Linked DNA regions of Callithrix jacchus. The protein of the gene in region 2 interacts with the protein of the main gene of each other region in a pairwise test. Links are inferred from orthologs where the notes say so. Each region holds a gene or a part of one and is shown on either strand. Other genes may lie near its edges.

Evidence for each region.
Region 1: the proteins of MAGEA4 (region 2) and AMOT interact in binary tests that used the Homo sapiens proteins (3 or more experiments, as listed by UniProt). The two-hybrid records come from large-scale screens. The link is inferred for Callithrix jacchus from reciprocal best matches to the Homo sapiens genes MAGEA4 and AMOT.
Region 3: the proteins of MAGEA4 (region 2) and UQCRB interact in binary tests that used the Homo sapiens proteins (3 or more experiments, as listed by UniProt). The two-hybrid records come from large-scale screens. The link is inferred for Callithrix jacchus from reciprocal best matches to the Homo sapiens genes MAGEA4 and UQCRB.

The regions. Positions count from the first base shown.
Region 1 is NC_133524.1:109,162,666-109,168,524, reverse strand, and holds the start of AMOT (angiomotin), read left to right. Parts: upstream 1-1,784; 5' UTR 1,785-2,165; intron 2,166-3,264; exon of another isoform or gene 3,265-3,393; intron 3,394-5,859.
Region 2 is NC_133524.1:148,210,604-148,216,426, forward strand, and holds the start of MAGEA4 (melanoma-associated antigen 4), read left to right. Parts: upstream 1-2,495; 5' UTR 2,496-3,542; coding exon 3,543-3,613; exon of another isoform or gene 3,614-5,229; intron 5,230-5,823. UniProt on the Homo sapiens protein: Regulates cell proliferation through the inhibition of cell cycle arrest at the G1 phase. Also negatively regulates p53-mediated apoptosis.
Region 3 is NC_133517.1:31,004,977-31,010,835, forward strand, and holds the start of UQCRB (cytochrome b-c1 complex subunit 7), read left to right. Parts: upstream 1-1,784; 5' UTR 1,785-1,798; coding exon 1,799-1,817; intron 1,818-4,552; coding exon 4,553-4,624; intron 4,625-5,503; coding exon 5,504-5,670; intron 5,671-5,859. UniProt on the Homo sapiens protein: Component of the ubiquinol-cytochrome c oxidoreductase, a multisubunit transmembrane complex that is part of the mitochondrial electron transport chain which drives oxidative phosphorylation.

The DNA of each region.
Region 1 (5,859 bases), about 39 Mb from region 2:
TGTTCCTTCATATTTGTTTTCTCAAGTTCACTTTGCAGATACACAGCATGATTTCCTCTTTCAGTACCAGAACCACAATAGCTTTAAGTTGTCATGAAACCGTAGAACTTTAAAAAAGAAATCTCACCCACCCTGCTTAGAAAAGGGGTAATTTATTATTCTAACTGCAGGGAGTCAACTTCATATCCATCTCCAAAATTGTAGGAAAAGAGCTGATTTTTAAAAATAAAGCCACAAAACCTACACGACCTTGGATGTAAATGCTTAAAACAGATGAACAGAATATTAATTCTCTAACACATGTAAGACTCTCCACTATGTGTCATACACAAGTAGGAACACATACATGTTGGAGTGCTTTAGTTTTCACACACATTTCATTTTCACTCCAGTGCCATTAATTTAATGGCATGTCTTACAGCATTTATTTACAGGTAGAAAAATTAAGGCTGAGAAGTTAAGCCACCTAACATTAGTCATACAATTAGCTAGTAAGTGCCAGAGCCCCAAATGAATTCTTCTTTTGGTTCTCAATTCTATGTTATTTTGCTACCCCTACACTGTTTCTTTGTGCCTTCGTTTTCCCAGATGTAAAATGGTAGATTTTCCGTGTCCCAGTATACTGTTCTCAACCCTCTGTTTTTAACCAATATCAGTTTTTTTCTTCCACAGCCAGGAAATGTGAACGCCACACTGGCACTTCATGTACTTTTCCCCCTCCGGATTTAATGAATTAAGGGGAAAGAAAAGTTACCTATTCGTGGAGGGCTGGACAGTGCTATAAACATAAAGGCGTACCAGAGTCGGCCGACACACTGCTGCACTCTTTTATGAGACTGAGAAAGCGTCTCATCTTTCTCTTCCCAGCGGTAGCTGGGGTAGAACATAGAGCTACACAATAGCCTCTTGTTTAGTTTTATTAATTTTGAGGACTGGTGGGACAAAAGGATCAGACTGGCGACTCCCGGGCCCAATCGCAAACGTATACTAGGCCAGGCCCGGCCAACCAGTAGCGGCAAAAGAATGGTGGGCGGGACTTACGCTTCAGGGGCCCGCTCCGCCCAGGCCGCATCTAACAGCCCGCCCAGGGGCGGAGCCTCTGCAGAGCCCCGCCCACGACCCCCTCCTCCCTCGCCCCGCAGCTTCTGCAGCCCGCCATCGGGAGGCGGGGGAAACTCCCGGGGTGGGGGAGCGGAGGAAGAAAGGAGGGTGTCTCGCAGAGCTGTGACCTGGGTGGGGGCCTGCTAGTAATAGGAAGCGAGAGGGGAAGGAAAACGAAGGAGCACTGCTCCTTCCTTCATTATTTTAAGCAGGCTTTGGTGGAAGCTGCTTTTCAGCATTTCTATTATTTGCTTTTCTTCCTCCCGCTGTGGGGCGGAGAGCTGCACTGGCTCTCCCACGCGAGTATGCCGCGCTGTTGCCGTAGGTTATTATTGTAGTCTTTTGCAAAACCCTTTCCTTCTCCCCAGCCAGTCCCCGCGCAGACTCTCACGGCTACGGCAACCGAGTCGTGCCCCTCTAGTGGAAAGGCGAGAGCGAGGGTCCCCAACTTTCGCCCGAGCTCTCGGACCCCGCGGTTTAATTGTTTGAAACTTCCCCGCCCCCCGGCCCCGCCTCTCTTCCGCGCTCTCCTCGCTCCTCACTTCCAGGGTCCAGGCAAGCTCCCGCCCTTCTTTCCCCGCCCTCTACTCCGCCTTCCTCCCCAGTCCACCCGCCCTGCCGCTCCGGGGCGGTCCTAGCCGCTCACCGCAAGAAGAAAAGCCACCCGTTCGTCCCCCTCCCCTACCTCCCATCCTTTGCCCAGGAGCTGCCTTGGCAGTCACGCCCCTTCCTTCCGAGGAGCTTTCTGGCTGCCTAAACTGGTAGACCCCCTGAATTACTCCTCCGTCTCCGCTCTCTTTCGCCTCCTCTTCTCTTAGTTCTCTCCGCCTCCCCCTCCAACTACCACCACCTCCAGTCAATCTCGCCTCCGACCATCCGCTGCTCCACCCTCTGGCCCGGTATCCTGCCTGTCCACTGCCACCAAGGAGAGCCCGGACGGAGCAGCGAAGAGGGGAGCAGCCAGGAGTTGGGGCTTCCCCCCTGCCCATCCCTGGCCGCTGGCCCGGGACCGAAGCCACTTGAGCGAGCAGAGAGTCGTCACCTTGTCTTCGTTGCCTTCAGGGGTAGGAGACGTGTGGTTACTTTTTGCGGGGAACTGGGGCAGGAATCCATGGTGGCATGAACTTGGTCGTGCCCTCGGCGTGAGTGAATCGATCTAGGCGCGTGTGAGAATGCCCGTGTATTCTGCTGTCTTTGCAGCTGGCCATGAGTTTTTCAGGATGTGCAGCAAGTTAAATCGGTTAGAGTGTGCGCTGCTTTCCCGTCCTGCTTAAGTGAGGAGATGCTAGTGGGTACCACTACTAGATGGTATTTTTACTTCCTTGCCTCCTGGGGTTCTTCTGGGTCTCTAGGAAATTAATCACATTGAGGAGCTAAAGACCCGAGGGAAGCTGAAATCTACTTTTAGCCTAGCATGCAAGTCAGTGCTTATCTCAGATAACTAGATAGGTTTCTCCTAAGTGCTTAGGCTTGGGGTGTGGACTCACACTCCCTGAGGCGGGAGAAGGAGGGGTAGGACCGTGAATTCTTGAAGTTTTAAAGTCTGCGTAATCTAAAACATAAGGCTACTTTTTGAAATGTGTGGTGGTGGTGGTGCTTGTGGTGGTGGTGATAGTGGTCATGAGGAGGGAATTGCCCCTATCTACTTTAGAAGATCCAAAGATGTTAGTAAATAGTTTTGGGGGATCAGGCAGGTGTCTTGAGGGTCCAAGCCTGGGCCACTGTACGTTGGTGCTTCAACAGTAAGATGGACTTCGTGGATATGTGAAAATCAAGAGAAAGAAAAGTGGGAGTAAAAATACGCCTTTATAATAGACTATGAGCAGTTCCTGGTAAATTTCCACTAATAATAATATAATAATGTTCATAAAGTGACTAAATAAGATTAAATGAGCAAGGAAAGAGGAAGTTGGTGAGAAACAGCATTTTCAATCTCTAGCGTATGTTTTAGAAAGAATTTTTCAACAACCTAGGATGTTTAGTTCAGTTCTCCTCCCTCCGTGGAAGTTGGGAGGCAGTTTAAAACTTTTATGAATATAACCCTCTTCTCCCATTCAGAGAGGAAGATAATTAGTCACCATAATCTTCAATGATGAAGGGCTAAGGGTATTTAAGTCTCCTTGAGCTAGGCTTTGTGAAAAGTTCTTTCTCAGGCCAGCCTTTGTGAAGCCTTCTCAGACCTTTCAGCACCCTCATTTAGTAGCTAAGAATAGTTTGAAATGCCATTTTGGATGTGGGATACATTTTCATCCATCTCCCACCTATCTTCAATTGGACAAGTGCATCAAACTTGTAAGTCGTGGTGTTCAAAGACTTATTTCTGTGATGTCCTGAACTCATTGCTTATTTGGGAACACATTATTTACATACATTTAAAAATAGCTTTGGTTGATTTTAATGAGGGAAAGGAAGGTAGGAAGGTAGAGAAGGAACGTTACATGGCGACAGTTTTAAAGGCTATCCTGTTTCAGATCAGCTGGGAGGGAAAAGCTGGCCTAGCCAAACTACATTTTATAACTGGCCTGGGACACTTTAACAGCCAGGTGGTTGTAGAATAGTTGCATCTATTTACAGATGATAACTCAGGTTCCAGCTATTCTGTATGGGTTTATCCGGTGTCATCGACAGACACTTTCTGGCACGACATCATACTTCATTTTAAATTACTTCTTTCTTTGGAAAAGTTTGTGGCTTTGTAAAATTGAAAGTGTTTTTTTCTACCTTCATGGTGTAGATGTGAAGTAAACCTCGTTGTATGTGGAGTCACTTTTACATGAAATTTGTGGATCTGTTTAGCTATTTAAAAGATTTTAGAAAGGGAATTTTAATAATTAATAGTCAATTCAATTTTGGATTTAGAAATTAAAATCTCATTTCCAGTTTATGAAGTTGGATTTATTAGACTAATTCCCAACTAGGACATTTGTAGAGTTGCTTTCTCTGAGGTTTTGTAAAGACCACATCAGACTCTAGAATGCTTTAAGAATAGCCTAATCAGAAGGCAGGGGGATGGATACTATGACCTTGAGGTCCCATTGAGTGCCAGAATTCTAAGTGGGTACATCTGCTTCTGTGCCTCTCCTAAGAGCCCTCTCCCAGGGCCTGCGCCTTCTTTAAAAGGGTGTCTTTGTAATTAAGCAGCCCTTCTTCCCCATCCCCCTTTCTTCCTTTGATCCAGCTTTTTAAGGCCTTTTTTCCATTTGGAGACAAGAGGAGTTTCTCACACTTTCCTGTTCCCCTCTTAACGTTTCTTGTCCTTTACCTCAGAAAAGTCCCCTGAGGTTCTCAAGATGGTTAGAAGTTTTGTTTTGTTTGGGGCGTGGGGGTGGAGTGGGGGAGTTGTTACCAGTGAGGAGGAATAGAGGATATATTCCCGCTTGGGAAATGCTTGCGACCAGGTAGCCTCCTCCATGGAGACTGAGCATTTGGAATGCATGAGAACAGTCTATTCTTGGGGACTGTCTGGTAGAAATTGTCCTTTGCACCCATTAAGCCCAGCTTAAACACATTGAAAGGGGTGGGGAGAGGTGTGTGTGGTCGTAGTGGAGCCTTTTAGGATGGTAAATGGGTAAATGTTTCCAAATCTCCTATTACATCATCTCTTTCTCCCATGGATTCAGTAGGTTTAGTGATCTGCTTGACAAGTTAATTAGCTGGGGACTAAACCAATTTGTTTAGAATTGTGATCCATTGATTTCCTGTCCCCAGGAATTTTTGTTGGTGTTTTACTATGATGTGTTGTCTTTAGTCTTACTTACTTTTCCCTCCTTGCTGCCTTTTGTGGACTTTGGTCCAAAATCTAGGGTTCCACCCCCAAGTCAAAGGTTAGAATTTTGTCCCGGGAACTAAGGGGGTATTAAACAGGCTGGCCATACTGCATTACTCTCCTCCATGGTGGGCTTCTGACCCCTTTTAACCCAGAGAAAGGAGGGAAGTCGCCCCTTCCACACACAACACACACAATCTGAACAAAAAAGAAAAAGAAAAAGAAAGAAAGAAAATAGGAGGTCATTTGCTTTATAAAAGAATCCACAACAGGTTTCTTTGTAAGTACTAGCTTTCCTAGTTAGTGCCTTTAAACTGTGACTTGATATATAAAAATTCACTCTAACTGGGCCTTCTCAGAAGTATATTTATTGCATAAAGGAATACATAAGAATTTGTAATGATTATCGCTTAAATGAAGTGAGGCCATTATTTGGCCTTTGAAATCTTTTTGTTATATGGAATGGAGTTAGTTAATTGTCTAAATCATGCTGGCTTGTAATAATGCTGGCCACGTTAGCTCCGGCCTACAACTGCTTGCAGAAGAGAGCTAGTATTACTTTTTGAAAAAAAATCAGACTTTATAGATTTTGAACAATTCTAAGGCTGAGACTATCCACTCCATATAGGTAAAATATTTTATTTCCAGTCACTGTATTTGACTTACCCAGGGATCCAGAAAGTTATTTCTAGTAAATAGTGGCGACTGATGCCATTTTTAACCTAAGAATCTGCAATAAGATTTCCTAGTGAGCCTATTGGTGAGAAGGATCTGGGCTCTAGGCCCAACTGTAACTCGGTTTACTACTTCTGTTAAGTTTTTTTTTCCACTGTAAATTGTGGGCTCGGACAGGGTGATTTTGAGAGCCAGTTCTCATAAGTTTAAGGTTTTCTTTCTAGGCCTCAATATCTAGTATGAATGTGAATGATTGCTACTAGAAGGAAGTGCAACAGTTGTTAGAAATTCAGTCATCTAGTCATCATGTTAAAACA
Region 2 (5,823 bases):
GACTGGTGGGTGTAGGTTCGGCCAGGAATTAACTTCAGGATCCCAGGAGAGGGCTCCTAGTCCCCCATTCCGTCCCCATCCCCCAACCCATTCTTATTCCCATCCACCCTCCCATCCCGCACCAGTACCCCCATTCTCTCCAGCCCCTACCAACGTCATAATCCCATTCCCCCACCCCCAACCACGCAGCATCCGGTTCCAGCCAGTCACACCCACGTGCCCGGATGTGACGCCACTGACTTGCGCGTGGGGGCGAGTTAGAGAGAAGCGCGGTTCTTGGTCCGACCAGCAGTTTGGGATTGACGGAGAGAGGCACGCAAGGCTCTGCCGCCACCCCAATACCCCCACCCCCAACCACGCCGGATCCGGTTCCACCCAGTCACGCCCGGATGTGACGCCACTGACTTGCGCATGGGGGGCGGGTTAGAGAGAAGCGCGGTTCTTGGTCTGACCAGCAGCTCGGGATTGGTGGAGGCAACCGGGCAAGGCACTGTTAGGAGGAATGCTGAGACGCTGAGGGAGGACTCAGGAGCTCCCCACGCGAGATAGATGACGCCAAATAATCCATTACAACTCTGCTGCCAGCTCTAGGCCACCCGTGGCTGGACTTCTGAGTGGGGGATGGGCACCACGGCCACTGTGGTTGAAGTCACAGGGGACTCGGGACTCAAAGGGCTTGGCGTGGTCAGTGCAAGACTGGTGGGGATAGGCTCTGCCATGAATTAACTGCAGGATCCCAGGAGAGGGCTCTGAGTCCCCCATTCCGTCCCCATTCCCCAACCCATTTTTATTCCCATCCACCCTCCCATCCCGCACCAGTACCCCCATTCTCTCCAGCCCCTACCAACGTCATAATCCCATTCCCCCACCCCCAACCACGCAGCATCCGGTTCCACCCAGGTGCCCGGATGTGACGCCACTGACTTTCGCGTGGGGGCGGGTTAGAGAGAAGCGCAGTTCTTGGTCCGACCAGCGGTTTGGGATTGACGGAGAGAGGCGGGCAACGCTCTGTTAGGAGGTAAGGTGAGACGTAGAGGGAGGACGCAGGAGGTCCCCTTCCCCGGTAGACGACTCCAAATAATCTCTTACCACTCCGGCTGCCAGCCCTCGGCCACCCGTGGGTGGACTGCTTAGTGGGGGAGGGGCACCACCCCTACTGCCGTTGAAGCCACAGGGGACTCGGGACTCAAAGAACTTGGCGTGGTCAATGCAAGACTGGTGGGGTAGGCTGTGCCAGGAATTAACGTGGGGATCCCAGGAGAGGGCTCTGAGTCCCCCATTCCCATCCCCTTTCTCCAACCCATTCTTATTCCCATCCACCCTCCCATCCCGCACCAATACCCCCATTCTCTCAAGCTCCTACCAACCTCATAAACCCATTCCGCCACCCCAATACCCCCACCCCCAACCACGCCGGATCCGGTTCCACCCAGTCACGCCCAGATGTGACGCCACTGACTTGCGCATGGGCGGCGGGTTAGAGAGAAGCGCGGTTCTTGGTCTGACCAGCAGCTCGGGATTGGGGGAGGCAAGCGGGCAAGGCACTGTTAGGAGGAATGCTGAGACGCTGAGGGAGGACTCAGGAGCTCCCCACGCGAGATAGATGACGCCAAATAATCCATTACAACTCTGCTGCCAGCTCTGGGCCACCCGTGGCTGGACTTCTGAGTGGGGGATGGGCACCACGGCCACTGTGGTTGGAGTCACAGGGGTCTCGGGACTCAAAGGGCTTGGCGTAGTCAGTGCAAGATTGGTGGGGATAGGCTCTGCCATGAATTAACTGCAGGATCCCAGGAGAGGGCTCTGAGTCCCCCATTCCGTCTCCATTCCCCAACCCATTTTTATTCCCATCCACCCTCCCATCCCGCACCAGTAACCCCATTCTCTCCAGCCCCTACCAACGTCATAATCCCATTCCCCCACCCGCAACCACGCAGCATCCGGTTCCACCCAGGTGCCCGGATGTGACGCCACTGACTTGCGCATGGAGGGTGGATTAGAGAGAAGCGTGGTTCTTGGTCCGACCAGCAGCTCGGGGTTGACGGAGAGAAGCGGGCAAGGCGCTGTTAGGAAGCAAGGCGAGACGCTGAGGGAGGACTCAGTAGCTCCCCACCTTAGATAGAGGACCCCAAATAATCCCTTACCACTCCTGCTGGCTGCCCTGGGCCACCCGTGGGTGGACTTCTGTGTGGGGGAGGGGACCAGTCAGAGTGCCGTTTAAGCCACAGGGGACTCGGGACTCAAAGGGTTTGGCGTGGTCAATGCAAGACTGGTGGGGGTAGGCTCGGCCAGGAATTAACTTCAGGATCTTAGGAGAGGGCTCCGAGTCCCCCATTCTGTCCCCATTCCCCAACCCATTCTTATTCCCATCCACCCTCCCATCCCGCACCAGTACCCCCATTCTCTCCAGCCCCTACTAACCTCATAATCCCATTTCTCCCACCCCCAACCACGCAGCATCCGGTTCCACCCAGGTGCCCGGATGTGACGCCACTGACTTGCGCATGGGGGGTGGATTAGAGAGAAGCGTGGTTCTTGGTCCGACCAGCAGCTCGGGGTTGACGGAGAGAAGCAGGTAAGGCTCTGTTAAGAAGCAAGGCGAGACGCTGAGGGAGGACTCAGTAGCTCCCCACCTTAGATAGAGGACCCCAAATAATCCCTTACCACTCCTGCTGGCTGCCCTGGGCCACCCGTGGGTGGACTTCTGCGTGGGGGAGGGGACCAGTCAGAGTGCCGTTTAAGCCACAGGGGACTCGGGACTCAAAGGGTTTGGCTTGGTCAATGCAAGACTGGTGGGGGTAGGCTCGGCCAGGAATTAACTTCAGGATCTTAGGAGAGGGCTCCGAGTCCCCCATTCTGTCCCCATTCCCCAACCCATTCTTATTCCCATCCACCCTCCCATCCCGCACCAGTACCCCCATTCTCTCCAGCCCCTACTAACCTCATAATCCCATTCCCCCACCCCCAACCACGCAGCATCCGGTTCCACCCAGGTGCCCGGATGTGACGCCACTGACTTGCGCATGGGGGGTGGATTAGAGAGAAGCGTGGTTCTTGGTCCGACCAGCAGCTCGGGGTTGACGGAGAGAAGCGGGTAAGGCTCTGTTAAGAAGCAAGGCGAGACGCTGAGGGAGGACTCAGTAGCTCCCCACCTTAGATAGAGGACCCCAAATAATCCCTTACCACTCCTGCTGGCTGCCCTGGGCCACCCGTGGGTGGACTTCTGCGTGGGGGAGGGGACCAGTCAGAGTGCCGTTTAAGCCACAGGGGACTCGGGACTCAAAGGGTTTGGCTTGGTCAATGCAAGACTGGTGGGGGTAGGCTCGGCCAGGAATTAACTTCAGGATCTTAGGAGAGGGCTCCGAGTCCCCCATTCTGTCCCCATTCCCCAACCCATTCTTATTCCCATCCACCCTCCCATCCCGCACCAGTACCCCCATTCTCTCCAGCCCCTACTAACCTCATAATCCCATTCCCCCACCCCCAACCACGCAGCATCCGGTTCCACCCAGGTGCCCGGATGTGACGCCACTGACTTGCGCATGGGGGGTGGATTAGAGAGAAGCGTGGTTCTTGGTCCGACCAGCAGCTCGGGGTTGACGGAGAGAAGCGGGTAAGGCTCTGTTAAGAAGCAAGGCGAGACGCTGAGGGAGGACTCAGTAGCTCCCCACCTTAGATAGAGGACCCCAAATAATCCCTTACCACTCCTGCTGGCTGCCCTGGGCCACCCGTGGGTGGACTTCTGCGTGGGGGAGGGGACCAGTCAGAGTGCCGTTTAAGCCACAGGGGACTCGGGACTCAAAGGGTTTGGCGTGGTCAATGCAAGACTGGTGGGGGTAGGCTCGGCCAGGAATTAACTTCAGGATCTTAGGAGAGGGCTCCGAGTCCCCCATTCTGTCCCCATTCCCCAACCCATTCTTATTCCCATCCACTCTCCCATCCCGCACCAGTACCCCCATTCTCTCCAGCCCCTACCAACGTCATAATCCCATTCCCCCACCCCCAACCACGCAGCATCCGGTTCCAGCCAGTCACACCCAGGTGCCCGGATGTGACGCCACTGACTTGCGCGTGGGGGGCGGGTTAGAGAGAAGCGCGGTTCTAGGTCAGACCAGCAGCTCGGGATTGACGGAGGGAAGCGGGCAAGGCTCTGTTAGGAGGTAAGTTGAGACGCTGAGGGAGGAAGCAGGAGGTCCCCTCCCCAGATAGAGGACCCCAAGTAATACATTAGCACTATTGCTGCCAGCTCTGGGCCACCGTGGGTGGACTTCTGAGTGGGGGAGGGGCACCACCCCCATTGAAGCCACAGGGGACTCGGGACTCAAAGAGCTTGGCATGGTAAATGCAAGACTGGTGGGGGTAGTCTTTGCCAGGAATCAACGTGGGGATCCGAGGAGAGAGCTCAGAGTCCCACATCCGTCCCCATCCCCCAACCCATTCTTATTCCTATCCACCTTCCCATCCCGCACCAGTACCCTTATCCTCTCCAGCCCCTACCAACCTCATAATCCCAATCCCCCACCCCCAACCACGCAGCATCCGGTTCCACCCAGTCACACCCAGGTGCCCGGATGTGACGTCACTGACTTGCGCGTGGGGGGCGGGTTAGAGAGAAGCGCGGTTCTTGGTCTCACCAGCAGCTTGGGATTGGGGGAGGGAAGCGGGCAAGGCTCTGTTAGGAGGCAAGGTGAGACGCTGAGGGAGGGACGCAAGAGGTTCCCGTTCCAGATAGACGACCCCAAATAATCCATTAGCACTCCCTCTGCCAGCTCTGGGCTACCTGTGGGTGGACTTCTGAGTGGGGAGGGGCACCAACCCCACTGCCGTTTAACCCACAGGGGACTCGGGAGTCAGTGTTTGGGTTGGTCAATGCAAGACCGGTGGGGGTAGGCTCTGCCAGGAATTAACGTGGGGATCCCAGGAGAGGGTTGAGCCTCCCCCATTTCCAACCGCATCCACAGCCCATTCTTATTCCCATCCACCCTCCCATTCCCCACCAGTACCCATATTCTCTTCAGCCCCTACCAACCTCATAATTCCAATTCCCCAACCCAACACAGACGCCCATCCACGCAGCATCCAGTTTCACCCCGTCACACCCAAGTGCCCGGATGTGATGCTACGGGCTTGCACACGGAGCGGGGGTGTTAGAGAGAAGCGCGGTTCTTGGTATGACCAGCAGCTTGAGATTGGCAGAGAGAAGCTGGCAAAGTTCTGTTAGGAGGCAAGGTGAGATGCTGAGGGAGGACTCAGGAGGTCCTTACCCCAGATTGATGACCCCAAATTGTCCCGTACGATTCCTGCTGCCACTCCTGGGCCACCCATGGGTGGACTTCTGTGTGGGGGAGGGGCACCACCCCCACTGCGGTTTAAGCCACAGGGAACTCGGGAGTCAGAGTTTGAGCTGGTGAGTGCAAGACTGGTGGGGGTAGGCTCTGCCAGGAATCAACGTGGGGATCCCAGGAGAGGGCTCAGAGTCCCACATCCGTCCCCATCTCCCAACCCATTCTTATTCCCATCCACCCTCCCATTTCCCACCATTACCCCTATTCTCTCCAGCCCCTACCAACCTCATAATCTCATACCCCCAGCCCCATCCACGCAGCGTTTGGTTTCACCCAGTCACTCCCAGGTGCCCGGATGTGATGCTACTGACTTGTGCATGGGGCGGGGGTGTTAGAGAGAAGCCCGGGTTCTTGGTAGGACCAGCAGTTTGGGATTGATGGAGCGAAGCGGGCAGGGCTGTTACGAGGCAAGGTGAGATGCTGAGGGAGGACTCAGGAGGTCCCCACCCCAGATAGATGACCCCAAATAATCCCTTAC
Region 3 (5,859 bases), on a different chromosome or scaffold from region 2:
ACAAGATTCTATTCTATATGGTCCCAACTCCGAGCTTAAAACTGAGGGGAAAAAAAGATATCACTGAGTAATGGTAGAAGTGCACTAGTAACTATAAGTCATCCTAGCTCCACCGAATTGTTTTTTGTCCCTAGATGTTTATGCCTAAGACTTTGCATGTTGGGGCTGAGATCTTAAAAGTCAGCAAATACTTCCATTTTGTCTTAAAATTGTGTGCAAATTCTGCAATACATCTTAGATTTAATCTTCAAAAAATCTCTTCTGCTGGTCATGGTGGCTCATGCCTGTAATCCAGCATTTTGGGAGGACAAGGTGGGTGGATCACTTGAGGTCAAGAGTTTGATACTCAGTTTGTTCAGCCTGGTCAACACGGTGAAACGCCATCTCTGCTAAAAATACAAGAATTAGTAGGCATGGTGGCATGTGCACCTGTAGTCCCAGCTGCTCAGGAGGCTGAGGCACAAATAGTTTGAACTCAGGAGACAGAGATTGCAGTGAGCCGAGATTGTGCCATTCAGCCTGACTGACAGAGGCTGAATAACAACAAAAAAAGAGGTGACAAAAACAAACTTCTTTGACCTAACCTTCCGCTAATATAGCTAGATGTAGATCTTCAGCTGGAGAAACCCAAGGCCTGAGAAGCTCGGTGTCTCTCCTGGATTAGTAGTGTAACATATGGCCCTAGAATTAAGTAGCCCCCAAATTTGTGTCTGGATTCTCAGACTCTGGAAGGAGAACCTGGACTCTTCTAGCTGTGTGCTCTTGGACAAGTTACTCAACCTTTCTGAGCCTCAGCTTTCTCCTCTCTACAATGAGATAATTACAGTACTTTCAGAATTAAGTGATAGTGTAGGATGTGAGAGATCACCTCCAACCCTCTTTCCCCTCTTCTCTTATGTGAGCTCTTTGGTTGGATCTAGGAACCAAATTGACACAAGGTAGATTAACAAGAGAAAAGCCTCCAAATTAGTTTTACATGTACACGGAGATCTTCACAAGAGAGTGAAATGGCCAATGCAAGATGCCTTTATACTTTTTAGAAGAGTATACTTTATATGGCAAATCTGAGAAGAAAGGGGATGTGGCTAGGGGCAGTAAATTTCTTGTGGAGTCATTAGGAGAAACGTGTGTGTGGTGGGGTGTCAACTCAGTGGAAGACAAGGGTTACTTCGGAAAGTATATTCAGGTCCAAAGCAGCCCCCAGTTTCCAGTCTCCGGTGATGGGTGATATTTTCTCCCCCTGGTAAGGGACGAGTACTCCAAAGGAGTACTGGAGGAAGCTTTATGGCTTGCTGCATGCAGGAAGAGATGGGTCATCAAACACTTAGTGAAACTACAATTTCTCCAACATTTTCAACTCGAAATAATCAATGTACCAATTCCATATATTTTGGATGGCACATTCATCAGTCCTTCAATAGAAAACTAAATAAGATGATGCCCTTGCTTCCTGCCTGGCACAAAGAGCTCAATTAATACCGCCCACGCTCTCATAGCTATGGACATTAAGTAACAGAACCTAGCCTTAAGCCTCGGTCTCCTAATTCCTGTCCTAGTGTTCTTCCCAACATACCGCAACCAATGCTTCTTAGAACAGAGCACGCCAAATGCCCCGCCCACTCTATTGGCCTCACCCTGGCGGAGATGTACGCCCGCAGGTGCTCACCGACAGCCGTCAGAACTGCGCCTGTGCGAGCGGCCTTCATCGATTCGCGACGCGACGTAACGCGCCTGCGCACTGCGCCCAGCCTGTCCTCTTTGACTTACCCAGAAGGCGACGCTTCGCTTTCTGGTCATAATGGCTGGCCGGCCGGCTGGTAAGTGATTGGCGGGGGGTGGGAGGGGGTCTTCCTTGGCGGGCATAGTCGCGCTACACCTTTTATTTTCGCAGCAGTTCGCTCCGTTTTCTCTCTTCTTTGTAAATGGCCAGGTTTGTCGCGGAAGGGAAAGTGGTGGCTTCAGTTCAGCCGAAAGTACTTGCCTCCCCATTCGTTTGCTGTCCCCAGGCCGGGCTTGCCTGTAGAGTTGGGATATTAACCCGCTGTTTGTGGAGGTGCCCGCGGTGGCTCTGACAGCCCTGGAGTTCCAGCTGCAGGTGTTCGGCATTCCTTCCCGTCGGCCTTAGAAAAGTTCAAGGGCACAAGGGGGTAACTAGTCGATGACTTTGAACCAGAATGAGCTCAGTGCTTTCTGTGACCTAATCGCTCTGTCGTGTGCATTGGCTGAATAAATTCTCCTGCCAGTGCGATGAGGGAGATATTAATTTCCTTTCTACGCTGATGAGATAACTGAGGCAACATAACCCAAGGAAGTAGAATTAGAAACTTCATTGCACCCCTCGCGCTTCTCAAATTGCGAATTAGAGGCTGTTGAGCAGGGGATACAAGCAACGCTTCAGGTTAACCTTGGATTATCTGGAACGTCAGCTTAATCAGTAGATTTGGAGAAATTTACTTATTGGAGGTTCAAATGCATTTATTGTGGAATAGAATGCAGATATTACTGGAATACTTAAAACAAAGTGAACCTTAAGTTGGGTTTTCCCTGGGTTTTTTGTTTTTGTTTTTGTTTTTGCTAATCTCTGCCCACTGGCGGTACAAATTAGAGCAGTTTTTAAAAAAATACTGATCTTTTCCTCCCCTTCTCCAGCACCTGTGAAGCTGTTAGGAAACAGCAAGTTGCCAGAAAAATCCGTTAACCTAATTGGCGTTGAGCTTTTTAGGGATGGGGGGAGACTTTTTAGTAATTATTTTATGAATTTGGCAGCTATTGTGGGAGTCTTACTAAATTCAAAACACTGCTTCTGTGCTGTGTTTGGGAACCATATAGACCAGATCTCAACTCCCATTAGCTAACTCTTCTGACCTTTGGTGGGATCACTTCTGTAAGCCTCCTTCCCCTTCTGTAATAACAGACATGTAAATAAATCAGCTAATGTTGGTAAAGCAAATAGGAAAGTGCTTGGCACACAGTAAGTGCTTAGTGAATATTAATTATTATCATAGTCACTGGTAGATGTTTAAAAATAATCTGTCTTCCAGCCAGGCGTGGTAGCTCACACCTGTAATCCCAGCACTTTGGGAGATCGAGGCAGGTGGATCACGAGGTCAGGAGTTCGAGACCAGCCTGGCCAGTCTGGTGAAACCCCATCTCTACTGAAAATACAAAAATTAGTTAGGCGTGGTGCGGGCACCGATAGTCTCAGCTACTCAGGAGGCTGAGGCTAGAGAATCGCTTGAACCTGGGAGGCGGAGCTTGAGTCAAGATCACTCCACTGCACTCCAGCCTGGGTGACAGAGTGAAACTCCATCTCAAAATAATAACAATAATAATAATCTGTCTTCCACAAGTATGTCTGTAGATTGTTGACTCATACTTACTTTTCTAGCAGCAGTTTTATACATGACTCTTAATTTCCAAGGAGATTTACTGAAGCCATGTAATCCGTAGTGCACTGAGTGTGCAGGCAAGGACAGTTGAGTGAGAGTTTGCTTTCCTTTTTGGTAAGGGGCTAGCCCTAGACAAAATTTTAAAAGAAAATTATACTTGTTCTACCTCCCCCTTTCTTTTTTTTTTTTTCTTTTTTTTTTAAATTTTTTATTGGATTATAGGTTTTGGGGTACATGAGCAGAGCATGCAAGACAGTTGCGTAGGTACACACATGGCAGTGTGCTTTCTTTTCTTCTCCCCTTCACCCACATTTGGCATTTCTCCCCAGCTACCTCCCCCTTTCTAAAATGTCTCTCCTAAAATGTCAGGTACTGTCATGCTGTCCTTGGACCCTGCTGGGTTACTTCATCAGGCTCATCCCTGCTCCCCAAAGAGATTTAAAATTATTTATTTCTCCTCATCCGTTTTCAGTATCCATTCCCTTGGGGAGAACTTAGCTGCTTAAGAGGAGGAAGATGGACTTCTTTTACTAATCCACATTAATGTTTAAATGACTAATGGTATCAAAATTCTCCCCAAAATACATAAATGTTTAGAGAGTGTGGCCAAGTGAAATAACTAATGTTGAGTAAAAATTTTAGAGGATGGGGGTCATTTAGGCCTGCCAGCCTCTGCTGAAATCTCAGTCTCTTTTCATACAACTCCAACTCCTTTGAAATGGAAAGCTTTACAATTATTTCCGGTGATCTATTTATGAAACTACAAATAATAGAAACATCCAAGTCCTATTCCTATCTCCCACCCCTTCAATTTTGAAGGTAATGGGGCTATAAGAGGGCACGTGATGTACCTGTAGATCTTTTGTACATTCAGTGTTTGAGTTTAACCTTTTCTTCCATGACTTGCCACCTAATTTTTTTTCCTGCAGCCACTTTTGTTCATAAGTAAAATAAGCATTTTTTTTATCAGCAGTGTATAGAGTGTAAACTTTTTTCTTTTAAATCAAATTCTTTTTTAATTAAATTCTTCCTATATAGAGTATATACATTTAAAAGGAAATTTCTATGTTTGTATTAGCAAGATAACTATGAGTACTGGTTGCTTCCCTATCAAAGTGTTCATATAGTTTAATTCTGGCAACTAACAGTGTGACAATGATCAGTTTCAGCATCAAGCAGGTTGCTGGAGATTATGCGAAAATGGTATTACAATGCTGCAGGATTCAATAAACTGGGTAAGCAGCTGTACTTTCTTTTCTGTTTTCTTTTTTTTCTTTTTCTGAGAGCATTGCTTTTACAAGTGTTACTGTGGTTCCAAAAAAATATTTCAGTTCTTATATATATCAGAAGATTTTAAAATTAAATCACATTGTATTATGTTAAATCCAGTTCCTGTTAAAAATTTTTTTGAGAGGAGAGGGATGAAAGCCTCTAAAATGTTTGACTTGTTAATGATTTAAGTAAGCAGCAAGACATTTTCCTTATAAACCTCCCCTCCCAACTCTTCCACTTAAAATTTTAAGTTATATAAACATTGAAAGTAGAGATTTTTCGAATTTTAAAATTTTCTCACATCCATGCAATCATATGATTCCTAAACTTTTATTAGAACTTTATAATTTGCCATGAACTTCATCTTTTATTATTGAAGCCTCTGGAAAGTGTAAGCAAAAGTTGCAGGTTCCTTAGTATACTATCATTTTAAGATTCTTTAATACCTTGAGCTCAGATTTAAACTGTAAGAAGTAGAGATGTGGTTTATTAATGTGTGTTTAAGAGCAAAGTAAACGTTTAAAATATTTTTTAAATGGTTTAGATAAAATGTGAATTTTGTGGCATTGGATTTTAAGAGGCTCATATATTGTTTCCATAGTCTAGTTCAAGAAATAACCAGTTATGTCAAGTATTAACCCATTACTTTTAACGGCTACCGCAATTACTTTTGCACCAACCTAATATTGTATGAAGTACATTGAATTTCCATTGAACCTAGTGATTTGAATTCAATAGGTCACCAAAAGTTGTAAGTTATAAGTCATAAAGATATTTTACTAATTTAAAAAAACGTGATATTTGAGATGCATGTGCAATCTAACTTTTGTCATCTATCATAGGGTTACTGCGAGATGACACAATATATGAGGATGAAGATGTAAAGGAAGCCATAAGAAGGCTTCCTGAGAACCTTTATAATGACAGGATGTTTCGCATTAAGAGGGCACTGGACCTGTCCATGAAGCATCAGATCCTGCCTAAAGAGCAGTGGACCAAATACGAAGAGGTAGAATAGCTTTTATCTACTTGACAATGTTGGTCATTACGGATGGAGTTTTAGAAACAAGGGAAACATGTTCATTTGCGTAGTATTAGAATTCTGTGAGTCATGTCAAATAAGTATCCTATCAACAGGCTGGTGAGGTTAATGGAGTAAGTGTTATCTCCATTTTAGAAGAAAACCACATTGAGTCTT